Oryzias latipes: one gene and its partner. The protein of the gene in region 2 interacts with the protein of the main gene of each other region in a biochemical or structural test. Links are inferred from orthologs where the notes say so. Each region holds a gene or a part of one and is shown on either strand. Other genes may lie near its edges.

What was found.
Region 1: the proteins of fbxo7 (region 2) and pink1 form a complex in vitro, tested with the Homo sapiens proteins (2 studies listed by BioGRID, with this or other methods). The link is inferred for Oryzias latipes from reciprocal best matches to the Homo sapiens genes FBXO7 and PINK1.

Annotation. Positions count from the first base shown.
Region 1 is NC_019865.2:23,686,447-23,694,881, forward strand, and holds the start of pink1 (serine/threonine-protein kinase PINK1, mitochondrial), read left to right. Parts: upstream 1-4,016; 5' UTR 4,017-4,128; coding exon 4,129-4,485; intron 4,486-6,333; coding exon 6,334-6,615; intron 6,616-6,699; coding exon 6,700-6,803; intron 6,804-8,435. Other genes in the region: trypsin-2-like, read left to right, coding at 1-104, 1,539-1,694. UniProt on the Homo sapiens protein: Serine/threonine-protein kinase which acts as a sensor of mitochondrial damage and protects against mitochondrial dysfunction during cellular stress.
Region 2 is NC_019881.2:23,754,673-23,761,512, reverse strand, and holds the end of fbxo7 (F-box only protein 7), read right to left. Parts: intron 6,468-6,840; 5' UTR 6,467-6,467; coding exon 6,345-6,466; intron 6,268-6,344; coding exon 6,072-6,267; intron 4,837-6,071; coding exon 4,627-4,836; intron 4,551-4,626; coding exon 4,406-4,550; intron 4,338-4,405; coding exon 4,254-4,337; intron 4,186-4,253; coding exon 4,090-4,185; intron 3,667-4,089; coding exon 3,490-3,666; intron 3,227-3,489; coding exon 3,186-3,226; intron 755-3,185; coding exon 467-754; 3' UTR 309-466; downstream 1-308. UniProt on the Homo sapiens protein: Substrate recognition component of a SCF (SKP1-CUL1-F-box protein) E3 ubiquitin-protein ligase complex which mediates the ubiquitination and subsequent proteasomal degradation of target proteins and plays a role in several biological processes such as cell cycle, cell proliferation, or maintenance of chromosome stability.

The sequences.
Region 1 (8,435 bases), on a different chromosome or scaffold from region 2:
TGGACGTGAGAGAAATACCTTACTGCAACTGGTACTACTGGGGGAGAATCACTGAGAACATGCTGTGTGCCGGATCTATCTACGGTGGAAAAGATTCCTGTCAGGTATGGCAACGAAAATGTCTGTATTTTATTGTTTCTGATACAACAAAAGATACCTCTGGCACATGGTACCCATGAAACCTCTATTGTGGATCCTGCCATCAGGTGTCTGATGGAAGAAATTTTGCACCTCGTCTTTTGCACCTCACCAGGTTGTGACAATTCCTACTCCAATCATCCTTTGATGTATTAAAAATGTTCCCAGTGGTCTTTTTAAATATTGTTATGCCGTTTGTAGCGTAAATCAAAAAGCCTGTGTCATTTTCTAGGACATCGTTTGTGCAGAGCCACAGTGGTTAATTAGAGTTGTGGGTGAAACTTTTGGCAAAGAGTAATCCTGCCCCCACTTTTATACCCGCTAGCTTACAACCCCTCACAACCCCCAGCCTAACATTAGCGGTGCAACAGAAAATGGTGAGCAATATTGGAGCTATTCAGCCGTACAGGATTGAGTCAGATGTCAGCTAAGTCGAGGAAAGCAAAGACCTACATGAATCTATTCTTCCGCAAGGAAATGCATCAGATGTTAAAAACACCAAAAACACTATTTTCATCGTACTGGGTCAAATCTTTAGTCTCCTGTGAAAGCAAATCAAAAGACATCAATGTGTGCATGCTTCCACATTCCTCCCCTACTCATGCACAGTTTGTGGGACTCTTATAGTGAAAGTACTCTTAGTGGGGTTGCTCAGAGGATTAGCAGGATTTTGGGGTTTTCTTTGCACTCATTTGTTTCAATCAAATCCCTCTTAACCCTTGTGCTATCCTATGACCCCACCCTTATATTGACGTGTTCTCCCTACCATGACAAAGGTGGATAAAGGTGGAAAGATTTCATGTAATCCATGGACACCAGTGAAGATCACAAATCATTGATGAAAAAAGGTTCAGAGCACTGTCTAGTGGGTCTACATGACCCAACTCCCAATGTTAAAGTGCCTAAAATAGCACAAGGGTTACATTGAGCATTTGTTGTAACTGCAGGATTTTTCTTGGGGTTTGGTTAGCTCCTGTAAAAATAATCATATCACATAAAGGTGTATAACTTATACTATAAGAAATCTTTTCCATCTGCCATTTAACCCTTGTACTATCCTATGGGGTCAAGATGACCATTGACGTGTTCTCCCTACCATGATAAAGGTGGATAAAGGTGAATAGGATTTCATGTAATCCATGGACACCAGTGAAGATCACAAATCATTGAAGAAAAAAGGTAAAGAGCACTGTCTTGTGGGGTCTATGTGACCCAACTCCCAATGTCAAAGTGCCAAGGATTGCACAAGGGTTGAAGGTGTTTTTTTTTCTTCTTACTTAAAAATCTGCTGATTTGTACTATTGAATAGCTGACACTGCAAATATGAAGAAAACGTTTACAGCTGACTATAACAGTCTGACATTGGCTAAAAGTAAACACTACTTCTTGTGTCCTCACAGGGCGACTCCGGGGGTCCGCTTGTCTGCAATGATTACTTTGAGGGTATTGTGTCCTGGGGCATCAGCTGCGCTAACCCATACTACCCCGGCGTCTACACCAAAGTGAGGCAGTACGTCAAATGGATCAACTGGATTATTAACAATGACTCTCCATGAGCCGTCACTGAAAAGCTTGTTCTCAATATTGCTTCTATTGTTTGATGTAAAGGTAACCTGTTGATCAAAGTTATGTCAAAAGGGGATTTGGGGTCAGTTTTTTTCCACAATATATTGTCCCTCGTCAATACATGACATTGAGAAGTATCTGTAGAGGTCAAAGGTTAGTCAGTTAGTGGAAACTTTTAAAATGACTCATTTGACTCAAATCACAGATACAATTTGCCACACAGAAGCTCTTGATTTTGCAACTTTGCACAGAAACACATTGGGACAAAGAATTGACATTTAAACCTTTCTAGTGCTATTACATCTAAAAGACAATCCAGAATAAAGCATCTGATGACAACAAAGATGAGCTGTTTGTTTTATTTTTCAAAGTGTTTCCATTTTCTTCAAGCATTTTATTTTATTCCTCATCATAAAAAATAATAAAAAATTAAAGAAGATCTCTGCCTCTGAAATATGTTTTAGGAAATACAGAAGACCCAGCATGGTTGGTGACTACCTGAACCTATAATAATTCATAACCAAAATTACTCACCATAAAACACATTTTAGACTGCTCCTTTAGGAAATATTTAAAGATGCCAGACATTTCTGACCTGTAAGTGTTATAAAAAATCAAATATCTGCTTCCAAAACCTTTGTTAGATAGGTTGCATAAATAATTAAACGTTAATGAGATTGCTTTATGTGATGAATATCTTTTTTTTTGGTCCAGGAAATTTCTTTCCGTCATCTATATTCTTAAACTGCTGAATCCCTTTTGGGGTTGCTGGAACGTTCCGACTCATGTTGAACAAAGGCGTGGTGCATCCTGGACCAGTCGCTAGTCAGCAAGGCTCAAGAACATTCTTTTTTCTCTGTAATCTTTGAGGGCAAGATTTTTTACCCATAATATACACTGAAAATGCACAGAGGCTTGTTTGGCCATGAGATACTGAAAAACAAAACCCAAGCATCAAAAAATCTCCTTAAAAGAAAAAAGGAAAAACAAACCAAAGCCAAATTGCAGAAGCATAATATCGATTAATAATTTAATTTAAATATATGAATGAATTAAGGAACAGTGATGTTAGTATTGTTCATATTTATAACAAGGATCATGGTCATAAATGTAAGAATTGATGTTATTGTAGGGATTTTGAATAAGCACAGACGTAACAATTTCATGGTGAAAATAACAATAGAAGGAGTAATAGGACTGATTTTGATTTTTAATAACCTATGTGTGCATTTCCATTAACACAAAAATTAATATGACCTTGATATGGTACCTGCAACTGTACCTGTAAAAGTTTTTTCACTCATAATTCAAAGTGACATGCAATTCTCAATAGGCAATTCAATTTTCCATTTGATCACACATTTTGCAATTGGCATTTCAATGCATTTTGTGATTTAGAATTCAAAATGAACAATAATTAAAATTAACTGTCACGGTTTTTTGATACTACAATTCAAATAAAATGCATTTTGCAACTTTTAATTAATTATGCTTTTTTATTATTTTATCATTATGAATTCTAAATCGCAAAATGCATTTTAAACTGGGACTAAACAGGGATATGGTCAATTCAGAATTGAATATTACTTTGAGTTATAGGTGAAACAAAACTTCCATATCTTAGAGACTTAGGGACATAGTCTGGAAACCCCCAGAGAAAACAAAGTTCTAACATTGAGGGAAAGAATAATTACAAATAAAAAAAATGTGTTAATCAAGCTAATGTTGTTAGCTGATTTAGATGTATTTATGCATTTGTCATCATATACTGTGTTAAAAATAACTTTTATTTCTGTCACATCATTCCTTTAACCTTCCAGTGCAAATTCTGACCAAAGCTCAGCAGGAACCTCCAAGTCCTACCCTGCGTCTATGGTCCTGCTTCAATAATACAGTTTTTATGTCACAAATAAACTACTTATCATTATAAAGACAAAAGAAGAAAATTAAAATTAATATCCAAAGAAAATAATTAACTTTCCTTAAAATGCACTGGTATTTTCCCCGCCCCTTTAAAATCATTCTGCCAATCCTGCCTGTTTCTCAGGATGGGTCAAGGGGATGAATATGATGCATTCAAAGTATATCCGTAACTAGAAAAAAAAAACAATGATGCTGGGATCCAAACAGCTCTAACTCAGTTTGTTACAACAATTACCGTTAATTAAAAATATAGACGATAATTTTAACTGCACAACACAAAATAAATGCGCTAAGGTGCTGAGGCCTGAAATATACAGTATTGTGGTTCCCACTCGTTGAAGGGGGCCATGAATGTATTTTATCTAAACCAATGACCATAGGTCCTTTGCGCATGCTCAGTAGCATTTGTTTTGTTTAACTTTGCTCCTCGCGGCAGCTGTTTGAGGCTGACCTGCATTCCCGGGGCTTTAAAACGTTTCTAAAAACCCTTCTGGGCTCACAATGTCTGTTAAACACGCTATTAGCCGAGGGCTGGAGTTGGGCCGGTCGATTTTTCAGCTGGGGGTCCTGAAAGCAGGTAGTCGGGTCGCAGCGAAGCTCCGAGCTGACCGAGTTCGTGCGGGCCCGGCCTTCCGGACCGCTCAGCCTCAGGCTTTCCTGCCTCTCCGATACCGGTATTACCGCACCTCACTGAGGGGTCTGGCAGCTCAGCTCCAGTGGGCTGGCTTCGTTAGGAGGTTTGCCGGAGGTTCACCGCGGAACAGAGCCGTCTTTCTGGCGTTTGGCCTCGGTGTGGGATTAATCGAGAAGCAGATTGAGGACGACAGGCTGAGTTTGGCAACGTGCAATGAGATAAAGGTATGAATTCCTGCTGTCATTTCAGTCTGAGCCTCAGTAGATCTGACATTTTATATTTGCGTTTTTTATAGCGACTGTTTTATGTTAAAACTTACTTAAAAAAATCATCGATTTTACTGTAATTTTATAGAAAAAACAAAATTTAGAACATAGCTGTGTAAATCTGTTGTTCAAATAAAATAAATTGACAAGTTTAATTCTTTCATTTATTGGGTCCAATGAGGTTAGTATTTATTATAGTAAAATATGTATTAATTAATCATTTTTTATCTATTTTAAAAGCGTTTCCAGTGGTCTTTTCATTAGGATTATTCCATTTAAAAAACGTTTGTTTTCTTGGACGTAGTGTCTGCAGTAGTTTATTAGAAATTCACCCCTGAGTTGTGGGCGGGACTGTTGCCACGGAGCAACCCCGCCCCCTTTCCTCTCCCAATTGCAGAGAGCTCTCTGTTTACATGCTCTCCCGCTAGCTTACAGCCCCCACACCCTCATCCCTAGCAGAAATGGTGAGCAATATTGGAGCTATCCAGAGGTAAACGAACACGGATCTTTGTCTGCAAGTTGTTGCTTTGGAATGGAGCAGAGCAGGCAGCTTGTGACCTGCCCAGCATGTTTTTTACATCACAAATACGATATTTTTTCAAACGGCATTGTTTCGTCTGCTCCTGATACATGTCAATGTGAAATGAACCGACAGTACAAGCTCATCCCTGGAAGTGACAAACTAAGTTATGCTGCAACTGACAACAACACAAACTTAAACTTTAGAATAGAATATAACTTTATCAATCACTTGTTACAACCTCTTTTGACAACGGCAAATAAATAACAAAAAAAAAATAAAACACTAGAAAAATGAATAACAATAACTATTGACCAGTGTCAGGTGTTAGAGTCTAATATCTGACAGGAGGAACGATCTGCAAAAGCTCTCATTCCTGTAGCTAAGTGTTCAAGTCTCTGACTGAAGGAGCTCCTCAGTGCACCGATTGCAGTAAATCCTGATGATGAAGAGGAATGTCCAGAATGGAGCTGGATCTTCACACTGTTCCTGTCAGTGCCATCATGAAATCTCTACAAGAGTCCTGCAATTTCTGAAGGACCTCAGTCTCCTTAGCCTCTCCTGCCCTCTGGTCGCTTCTCTAGCAGCATTTTGTTGTTGCCAAGCAACAACAACTGATTGTGTAAATCAGCGGTGTCAGAATCCAGGCCGTGAGGGTCCAACATGTTTTTCAAGCAACCTGCCATTGAAGCTCCTTATTGGCTAAACACACCTGATCCACAAGTCATCAGCAGCAGCAGCAGATAAGGCAGGATTTTTGGGAAACCAGCAGGAGGCCGGCCCTCGAGGCCTGGAGTCTGACACCCCACCCCCCCACCCCCCCCTCTGCTGTAAATGATGCACCTGCAGCCCGCTTGAGACCCAGAAGGGGTGGAAATTAGCCCAAAAAGGGGTGACATGCATGCCATCACACTGATTATGTGAAAAAATATCCATGTCCATCAAAAAGAGGTCAATAATATGAAAGTAACAAAACAAAAACAAGGAAGTTAGCCTGAAGGAAAGTAGAGTAAATGTAAACCCATTAGCAGTAGTTTTAGCAAAAATAACTGGTTTGATGCTATTAGGTTTGTATGAATTCATGAGACAATTTTAATCAATGATACCACGCTGGTAGTTTGTCAAGCTTCTTAAATCTCAGAGCATCGGCTTCTACAAGGCTGTTTTAGTGTTAAAAGTTAAGTGTATAATTGTAGATTTCAAAAGGACACTTCATTTACATACCAAAGTAAAGACTTTGAACTCTGCTTTAATGAAACCTGAATCTAATTTCTCCTGAACTGCAGGCGGTGTTCAGAAAGAAGAAGTTCCAGAGCCCGCTCAAGCCCTTGGCCTATGGATACAAACTGGAGGATTACATTGTAGGAAACCAGATTGGGAAAGGATCCAACGCAGCTGTGTATGAAGCTGCACCTCAGTTTTTCTGCTCCAAGAAAAGCGATGGTGAGCCCGCCGCGGTGCAGATACGAGACAGTGAGGGCGAGGAAGGAAATCGCGTCATGCCATCTCTGAGTTGCTGCTCTCTAAGGAACTTCCCGCTGGCAATCAAGATGCTGTGGAACTTTGGGGTGGGTCATGGCCAGCACCCATGTATGTGGGGAGGGGAAGAAAGGTCGCTTTCTGACCGGTGTTGTGATTCTATGTGTTTGCAGGCAGGGTCATCAAACGAGGCGATCTTTAGATCGATGTCCCATGAGCTGGTTCCCACAGACCCCCTCGCTCTGGCGCCAGCAAAACAGCAACTTACTTTAGACGGGTAAATATGTTAACGAAGTCAAAGGGCTGCAACGAATCATTACTGAACCTGATCACTAGCCACAGTTGGGTGTGTTTTATTCGGGAGGAGGATGATCGGTTAGCATGACACTTGAATAACACACTTGAGGTACCGTAACTCTTCCACCATTTACGTGACCAACTTGTATCAGCTGATTCTGACGTGGAGATAAGCGGCTTTTCTTAGCGGCTTTGCATAGATATGTAACGTATTATGAACGTAAAGGGTTGCATCACAGCAATTTAAAAAGATGACAAAATCCATCAGAGTGTATAGTGGCAGATATGAGGCCATACTGCCTTGTGGAGAACAAGGGATTTGAATATATACCGTAAAAGAACAAGCAAAATCCCATCGCAACACAAAAATCATTCTAGAATTTTAAGAGCATGTAGAAGAATTATCTAGTCCAGAGGTTCTCAAAGTGCGACCCGGGGGCCAATGGTGGCCCGCGGGAAGATTTTTTTGTGGCCCTCGATAAAAGAGAGCCAGAGTAGGTTCCTTTGAGGAAAAACGTGTTGGCGAGGAGAAAAGGCGCTTTCAAGCTAAGTGGACAAATGCTTACTTTGTCGTACCTCATGGGCTGGATAAAGTCATGTGCCTTATTTGCAAGCAAAAAAATCATCACTATGTCACAAATCATAAAAACTATGACAACCGGCAAGGAGTGCAACTATAATCTCCAACAACTACAACGAGGCTATGCTGTACAGCAGATGTTTACAAAAATGGCTACATCCAGTGAAGCTGTGACAGAAGCTAGCTACATTGTGGCTTTGGAAATTGGAAATTTGGTCCAGCAAAGCAAGCCCTTCATTGACTGGGAGTTTGTAAAAACAATGTATGCTGGAAGTAGCTGACATTGTATGTCCAGATCAAAAGAAAGTCTGTCAAATGAAACTATTAACAGACGAGTAGAAGATCTGGGCAGCAACCTCCGACCGCAACTGGGAAAACATCTGGAGGGCCTGGTTAATGGCATTTGGTCATTAAAGTTATTAAAAACAACTTTTTTTTTTTTCACCAAAATTGGCCCCCAGTGTAATGTCGAGTTCATAATTTGGCCCTCTGCTACAAAAACGTTGAGAACCCCTGATCTAATGGATTATCCATTGCTCTCACCATACATGGGTGGAGGCCTGGCGCTCACTTTACCACACCAGATTGGTAGACGAGAAGCCCAGTATTGCAGAAAGACCAGAGAGTTGCACCAGAACCAATGGTGGGGCCAATGGTTTGTACACCAGGTTCTGTGTACAAAACGTGCAGCCACTGAACGCGCGTTGAAAGTGAAACCAGGTCGAGCTTTGACCAATCAGGGACTCTAGTGATGTACAGTGATCCCTTGCTATATCACGGTTTACTTTTCACGGTTTCGCTACTTCACGGATTTGGATTGTGCATTGTGTTCTGCATTCTGATTGGCTAAAAAGTCACTCAGCGAGTAGCTCAAGAATGGGACCCTTTGATGAGCCGTTCATTACAGTTCTCCAACATAATCGATGGTGGCATGTCGGTGTATAAGGATCTTTAGCAAAGAAGAAAAAAGAGCGACAACAACTGCCTATCACTATGTTCCTCTCCCGAACAAACACACCTGCAGCTGCACCG
Region 2 (6,840 bases):
TTATCGTGGGAGCTAGCATAATCTGCTTTCTGGAATACCCCCCGGAAGCCAAAGTTTCTTCTGCCGTTTTTGACAGTAAAGACTGAATACAGCAGTTTAGTGACGGAATCAGGAGCAGAACCCGCTGGTTCTGAAGGAAGTTCCTGTACGTTTGAGACCAGATGGACGGAGCCTTCTCCGTCACTCAGGTGTTGGTGTGTCACGTGGTTTTGTCAGGGCGACCACAGCTCGCTCTGACCCAGAAACCCGCGTTAGTCTTTCAGGCTAAAACACTGTGGTGCATTCAGGGACACACAGGAACAGTCAGATTGTTTCACACTGGTCTTCAGCTGTTTATAAAAAAAACCAAAATAATAATAAATCAAGCTTTCCAGCACAGTGTCATTTCTTCTTTGGATCACGGGGCTCTCACATGGAGGCCACACCCCCCACGTGTGGTCATGGCGTTCCTTCCAGGATTCAATGTTCAGATGAAACCCCGCCGGATGTCGGCTGCCTTGCCCCCAAATGATCTGAACCGGGGTAGCGGTCGACCAAGGGGGTCTGAAAGGGGCCCAATGGGGTCGTGTCGGGGGCGGGGCAGGAGGCCGTGCGGGAGATTGGGTCTTTGGTCATAATCCCCCCCAATAATGCCTGGCACAGGGGGGAAGGGGCGGGGCAAAGGATGAAAGATGTGATGGCCAATAGGAGGGGTCATCAGTCGGGTGGCGCTGCGGCGGCTTTCAGAGCGAAAGACAAACATCGTTTTGTAGAGCTGAAAGGAAACATGGCAACAGGTGAGACAGGCTGTTTGCAGACTGTTTACAGGCTGGTTGCAGGCTGATTGCAGAATGTTTACAGGCTGTTTGCAGGCTGATTGCAGACTGTTTACAGGCTGTTTAAAGGCTGATTGCAGACTGTTTACAGGCTGGTTGCAGGCTGATTGCAGAATGTTTACAGGCTGTTTGCAGGCTGATTGCAGACTGTTTACAGGCTGTTTAAAGGCTGATTGCAGACTGTTTACAGGCTGTTTGCAGGCTGATTGCAGAATGTTTGCAGGCTGATTGCAGACTGTTTGCAGGCTGATTGCAGAATGTTTACAGACTGTTTACAGGCTGGTTGCAGACTGTTTGCAGACTGTTTACAGGCTGTTTACAGGCTGTTTGCAGGCTGATTGCAGACTGTTTGCAGGCTGGTTGCAGGCTGATTGCAGACTGTTTGCAAACTGTTTGCAGGCTGATTGCAGAATGTTTGCAGGCTGATTGCAGAATGTTTACAGACTGTTTACAGGCTGGTTGCAGACTGTTTGCAGACTGTTTACAGGCTGTTTACAGGCTGGTTGCAGGCTGATTGCAGACTGTTTGCAAACTGTTTGCAGGCTGATTGCAGAATGTTTGCAAACTGTTTACAGGCTGTTTGCAGGCTGATTGCAGAATGTTTGCAGGCTGATTGGAGACTGTTTACAGGCTGTTTACAGACTGTTTGCAGGCTGATTACAGGCTGTTTGCAGAATGTTTACAGGCTGATTGCAGACTGTTTGCAAACTGTTTACAGACTGTTTGCAGACTGTTTACAGGCTGTTTACAGACTGTTTGCAGGCTGATTGCAGAATGTTTACAGACTGTTTGCAGGCTGTTTACAGACTGTTTGCAGGCTGTTTACAGGCTGTTTGCAGACTGTTTACAGGCTGTTTGCAGGCTGATTGCAGGCTGTTTGCAGAATGTTTGCAGACTGTTTGCTGGCTGTTTACAGACTTTTTGCAGACTGTTTACAGGCTGTTTGCAGGCTGATTGCAGACTGTTTGCAGACTGTTTGCAGACTGTTAACAGACTGTTTGCAGACTGTTTGCAGACTGTTTGCAGACTGTTTACAGGCTGATTGCAGGCTGATTGCAGGCTGTTTGCAGGCTGATTGCAGAATGTTTACAGACTGTTTGCAGGCTGTTTGCAGACTGTTTACAGACTGTTTGCAGGCTGTTTACAGACTGTTTGCAGGCTGATTGCAGACTGTCTGCAGGCTGATTGCAGACTGTTTGCAGAATGTTTGCAGGCTGTTTGCAGGCTGTTTGCAGACTGTTTACAGACTGTTTGCAGGCTGTTTACAGACTGTTTGCAGGCTGATTGCAGACTGTCTGCAGGCTGATTGCAGAATGTTTACAGACTGTTTGCAGGCTGTTTGCAGACTGTTTACAGACTGTTTACAGACTGTTTGCAGGCTGTTTACAGACTGTTTGCAGGCTGATTGCAGACTGTCTGCAGGCTGATTGCAGGCTGTTTACAGACTGTTTCCAGGCTGTTTACAGACTGTTTGCAGGCTGATTGCAGACTGTCTGCAGGCTGATTGCAGGCTGTTTGCAGAATGTTTGCAGACTGTTTACAGGCTGATTGCAGACTGTTTGCAGACTGTTTGCAGACTGTTTGCAGGCTGTTTGCAGACTGTTTACAGACTGTTTGCAGGCTGTTTACAGACTGTTTACAGGCTTTTTGCAGACTGTTTGCAGGCTGTTTGCAGACTGTTTACAGACTGTTTGCAGGCTGTTTGCAGGCTGTTTACAGACTGTTTGCAGGCTGATTGCAGACTGTCTGCAGGCTGATTGCAGGCTGTTTACAGACTGTTTGCAGGCTGATTGCAGAATGTTTACAGACTGTTTGCAGGCTGTTTGCAGACTGTTTACAGACTGTTTACAGACTGTTTGCAGGCTGTTTACAGACTGTTTGCAGGCTGATTGCAGACTGTCTGCAGGCTGATTGCAGGCTGTTTACAGACTGTTTCCAGGCTGTTTACAGACTGTTTGCAGGCTGATTGCAGACTGTCTGCAGGCTGATTGCAGGCTGTTTGCAGAATGTTTGCAGACTGTTTACAGGCTGATTGCAGACTGTTTGCAGACTGTTTGCAGACTGTTTGCAGGCTGTTTGCAGGCTGTTTGCAGACTGTTTGCAGGCTGTTTGCAGACTGTTTACAGACTGTTTGCAGGCTGTTTGCAGAATGTTTACAGACTGTTTGCAGGCTGTTTACAGGCTGATTCATTCATGAATTAAGCCCACCTTCCTTCTGTTCATGTTCTGGTTTGTCCTCTAAGCTTCACACATATTAGTTAGATTTTCTAATTAAAAGCCTCCTTTGACTGAAATCAAAGCCGTGGAGGACCCATCACTGTGGGTCCCCACACATCTCACACCCGTGTGACAGTTTCACTCCCTCCTCACCTCCTTCCAGTCCGAGTCATTTGATCTGTTTCCACCAGAACCTGAAGCACAAACATGACATCATTGAGGTCCAAATGTTTCAGACTGAAAACGCGGTTCCTTCACATTCAACAGAAACTGAAGAATAATCTGCTGACGTCTTTAGATCAGACTAGTAGCTTCATTTATTCTCTACATGTGTGTAAAAACACAGAAATGTCTGTTTTCCTGGTGAATCCTGGTCCGCAGCTGGTCTCTGGCTGAAGAACGTGCAGCTTCTCTGATTCTGAAGTTTAAAAAAACGTGGCGGAGAAGCAGCTCTAACCTGGGAAATCACGGCGGTACAGGTGTCTCCACAGCGAGGAGTCTGCTGCTGCGGCGTTCAGAAGTCGACAGACGGCGGACAGCCTGAGAAGCGAGCGCACGTCCAGCAGGCGGAGCACCCTGAGGAGAAGCTCTGGAGGGAGGGCCTGCAGGCCGAACGCCCAGGGCAGAGCCATGGCTGCAACGGAAAGAAAACGCTTTCTGCTCCACTCTGATTCACACTCTGGCGCCCCCCAGTGGTACAGAAAGCCACAGCAGGGAGACACCAGGAAGTCCATCGCCGTTCAAATGATGCGTTTCCTGTTTGACAGCATTTTCTGTTCTTTTTAATATTTTATAGCGGCATGTATTGGCGATACGATGGATATCAAGAAACATACTAAGTCTGTGCCACAACAATATTTCAATCTTTTTTTAAAAAGGATGAATAAAACGATATTGTGATATCAAACATTCTCCCGGCCCTACCTGCACCCCTAACATTTGATCAAACGTTCTGCTGCTCCCTGTAGGGGGCGCCACAGCTTCCTGGTAGCTCCACCCTCTGCCTCCTTGTGGGCGTGGCTCACAAAAGCAGACCGGCCCCCTCGGCTGCGTTTACCTTCTCTGGCGGCGGCGATCAGAGGGTAGGCCAGCTGGTCTTTGAAGACGCGGGACAGCTTTCGGAGGTCCTTGAAGGCCGCGGCGGCACTTCCCCCTGAAGGACAGCACACACAGCATTACTCAGCGGCGCTGCGGCGTCGAGCCTCCCCGCCGCCTGCCTACCTGCCCACTCCTGAGTCACGAAGCTGGACGCCTTCAACTGGAGCTTCCGGACCGAACCCACATTCTCTAGAACCTTCAGGGTGGCTACAGAACACCAACCGGAAACGTCAGAGTCTGGGACGCCTTCCTCTGAAGACGCTGAAAAACCTCACCGTTGACGACGAGCTGGGGGCCCATGACCACGCCCACCACGGAGGCAGAGCTGCTGCCACACAGAGGGTGAGTGTACTGCAGCCTGTAGGTGGTGGCGCTGGACCTCCACCCTGCCGGCATTTCAGCAGGCTTCATCGCACAGCCCTGAAGACAGCAGAGGTGAGACCGCCGGGCCCCCGAGGACCCCCCAGGACAGAGAAAAAGCCCCCGTTCCACTCACTTGCGACGTGAAGCCGGCCTCCAGCATGAGAACGTGCGACGCCACCACCACGGCGTCGTCAGGACAGCTGACCTGCGCCGTGTGGTAGAGGAGGTCCAGGGACAGGGGGGCCTGACCGTCCTCCGCCTCGCTGCACAGGATGGGCTCCCAGAGCGGCGCCGGGTCAGCGTCTGGCTGGGCCGAGCCCGCGGGTTCGATGCTGCCAGGCGGCTGGAGGGAAGAACAGAAGCCGTTTCATTCGGACCAGAAAGACGTGAAGACAACAAGAGGTCGCAGATGGAGGAGACAGAGGAGGCTGAACGCAGATCTTCATCATCAGAAGATCAACCGGAACATTTCAGGAACGGCGGGGAGGAAGAACGCTGGACAGGTTCTTCTGAAAATGAACCGAGGTCTGGATCCATCTTCACCTTTGGATTCTGAGGAGCTTCTGCTCCTCACCGCTGAGTCAGACAAGAAGCTCCTCCTGTCTACTGCAGAACCCCTCAGGACTTCCCAGAACCCCTGAGGACATCGCAGAACCCCTCAGGACATTCGCAGAACCCCTCAGGACATCGCAGAACCCCTCAGGACATCGCAGAACCCCTCAGGACTTCCCAGAACCCCTGAGGACATCGCAGAACCCCTCAGGACATTCGCAGAACCCCTCAGGACTTCCCAGAACCCCTCAGGACATCGCAGAACCCCTCAGGACATCCCAGAACCCCTCAGGACATCCCAGAACCCCTCAGGACATCGCAGAACCCTTCAGGACACCGCAGAACCCTTCAGAACCCATCAGGACATCGCAGAACCCCTCAGGACATCGCAGAACCCCTCAGGACATCGCAGAACCCCTCAGGACATCGCAGAACCCCTCAGGACATCGCAGAACCCCTCAGGACATCGCAGAACCCCTCAGAACATCGCAGAACCCCTCAGGACATCGCAGAACCCCTCAGGACATCGCAGAACCCCTCAGGACATCGCAGAACCCCTCAGAACATCGCAGAACCCTTCAGAACCCCTCAGGACATCGCAGAACCCCTCAGGACATCGCAGAACCCCTTAAAACATCACAGAACCCCTCAGGACATCGCAGAACCCTTCAGAACCCCTCGGGACATCCCAGAACCCCTCAGGACATCGCAGAACCCCCCAAGAACGCTTCAGTTTGAAGGACAGGAGACCTGAAGAGAAGCGTGTCTGCACAGCGACAGTCACGTGACCACCAGACTCCTGATGGTCCGCTGCGTCAGTGACGTCAGTGATGATGATGTCACAACGGCTGTCTGGCCTCCAGGGGGCGCCCCACTGAGAAAGTGACGTCACAGAAAGCCACTGGATTCATCTTCCTCTCTGAAGTTCTCTAAAGTCCAGACCTCCTAAGGCCAATCTTCTTCAGGATGAAGGTTTCTGACCTCCTTTTGTGTCAAAACATTCACTTACTAAGCCAAACGACTCACCTGGCTGTGGGCGGAGCTGCAGGCGGAGCCGCAGCTCTGCTGAGCATCGGTCACTGCGCTGGTCTCTGGAGCTGCAGACGGGGGCAGCAGGACCCAGATCAGATCTCCAGAGTCGATGCCGCAGGACACCAGGGTCTGGGCGGAGTCGGACAGCAGATCCGAGCCGTTCAGGGACAGTCCGAAGGCCGTGTCGGCGCTGAGAGGATGGAGGCAGAGTTCAGGAGGTCTTCCTCAAACATCAGGATCAATACGGACGAGCAGCGGTGGAGGAACCTGAGTCCGTGAGACGGCAGCAGCGTCTGCCGGATCAGCTCTGCCAGCTCCTGCAGGGTGGGCGCCTCTCCCTGGACCTCCAGCCTGCTGGTCTGCCGCTGGATTCGAACCCGCAGCTTCATGCTGCAGATAAAGCCACGTGCCCCCCACTTACAAACAGCTGAGCACCCACAAACACAACAGCAGCTGCAGCCACACGTTGAGCCCCACAGAAGTAAACTGATGGTTTCCAGCAGAAGCTGCTTTATTTGCTCACTTTTGCTTTGGTGTCATGCAGGTTTGGTCGCGTGGACGCGCTCCTGCACGCTCAGGCGCGCTCCTGCACGCTCAGGCGCGCTCCTGCACGCTCAGGCGCGCTCCTGCACGTTCAGGCGCGCTCCTGCAATGTTCTCATACTTCACTGGGAAAGCTAAACCAGCTTCAAAATATCAAACCTTGAGGTTCTGAACGTAGAACTGAATTGAAACTGAGCGGAAAGATTCCTGTGACAGCTACC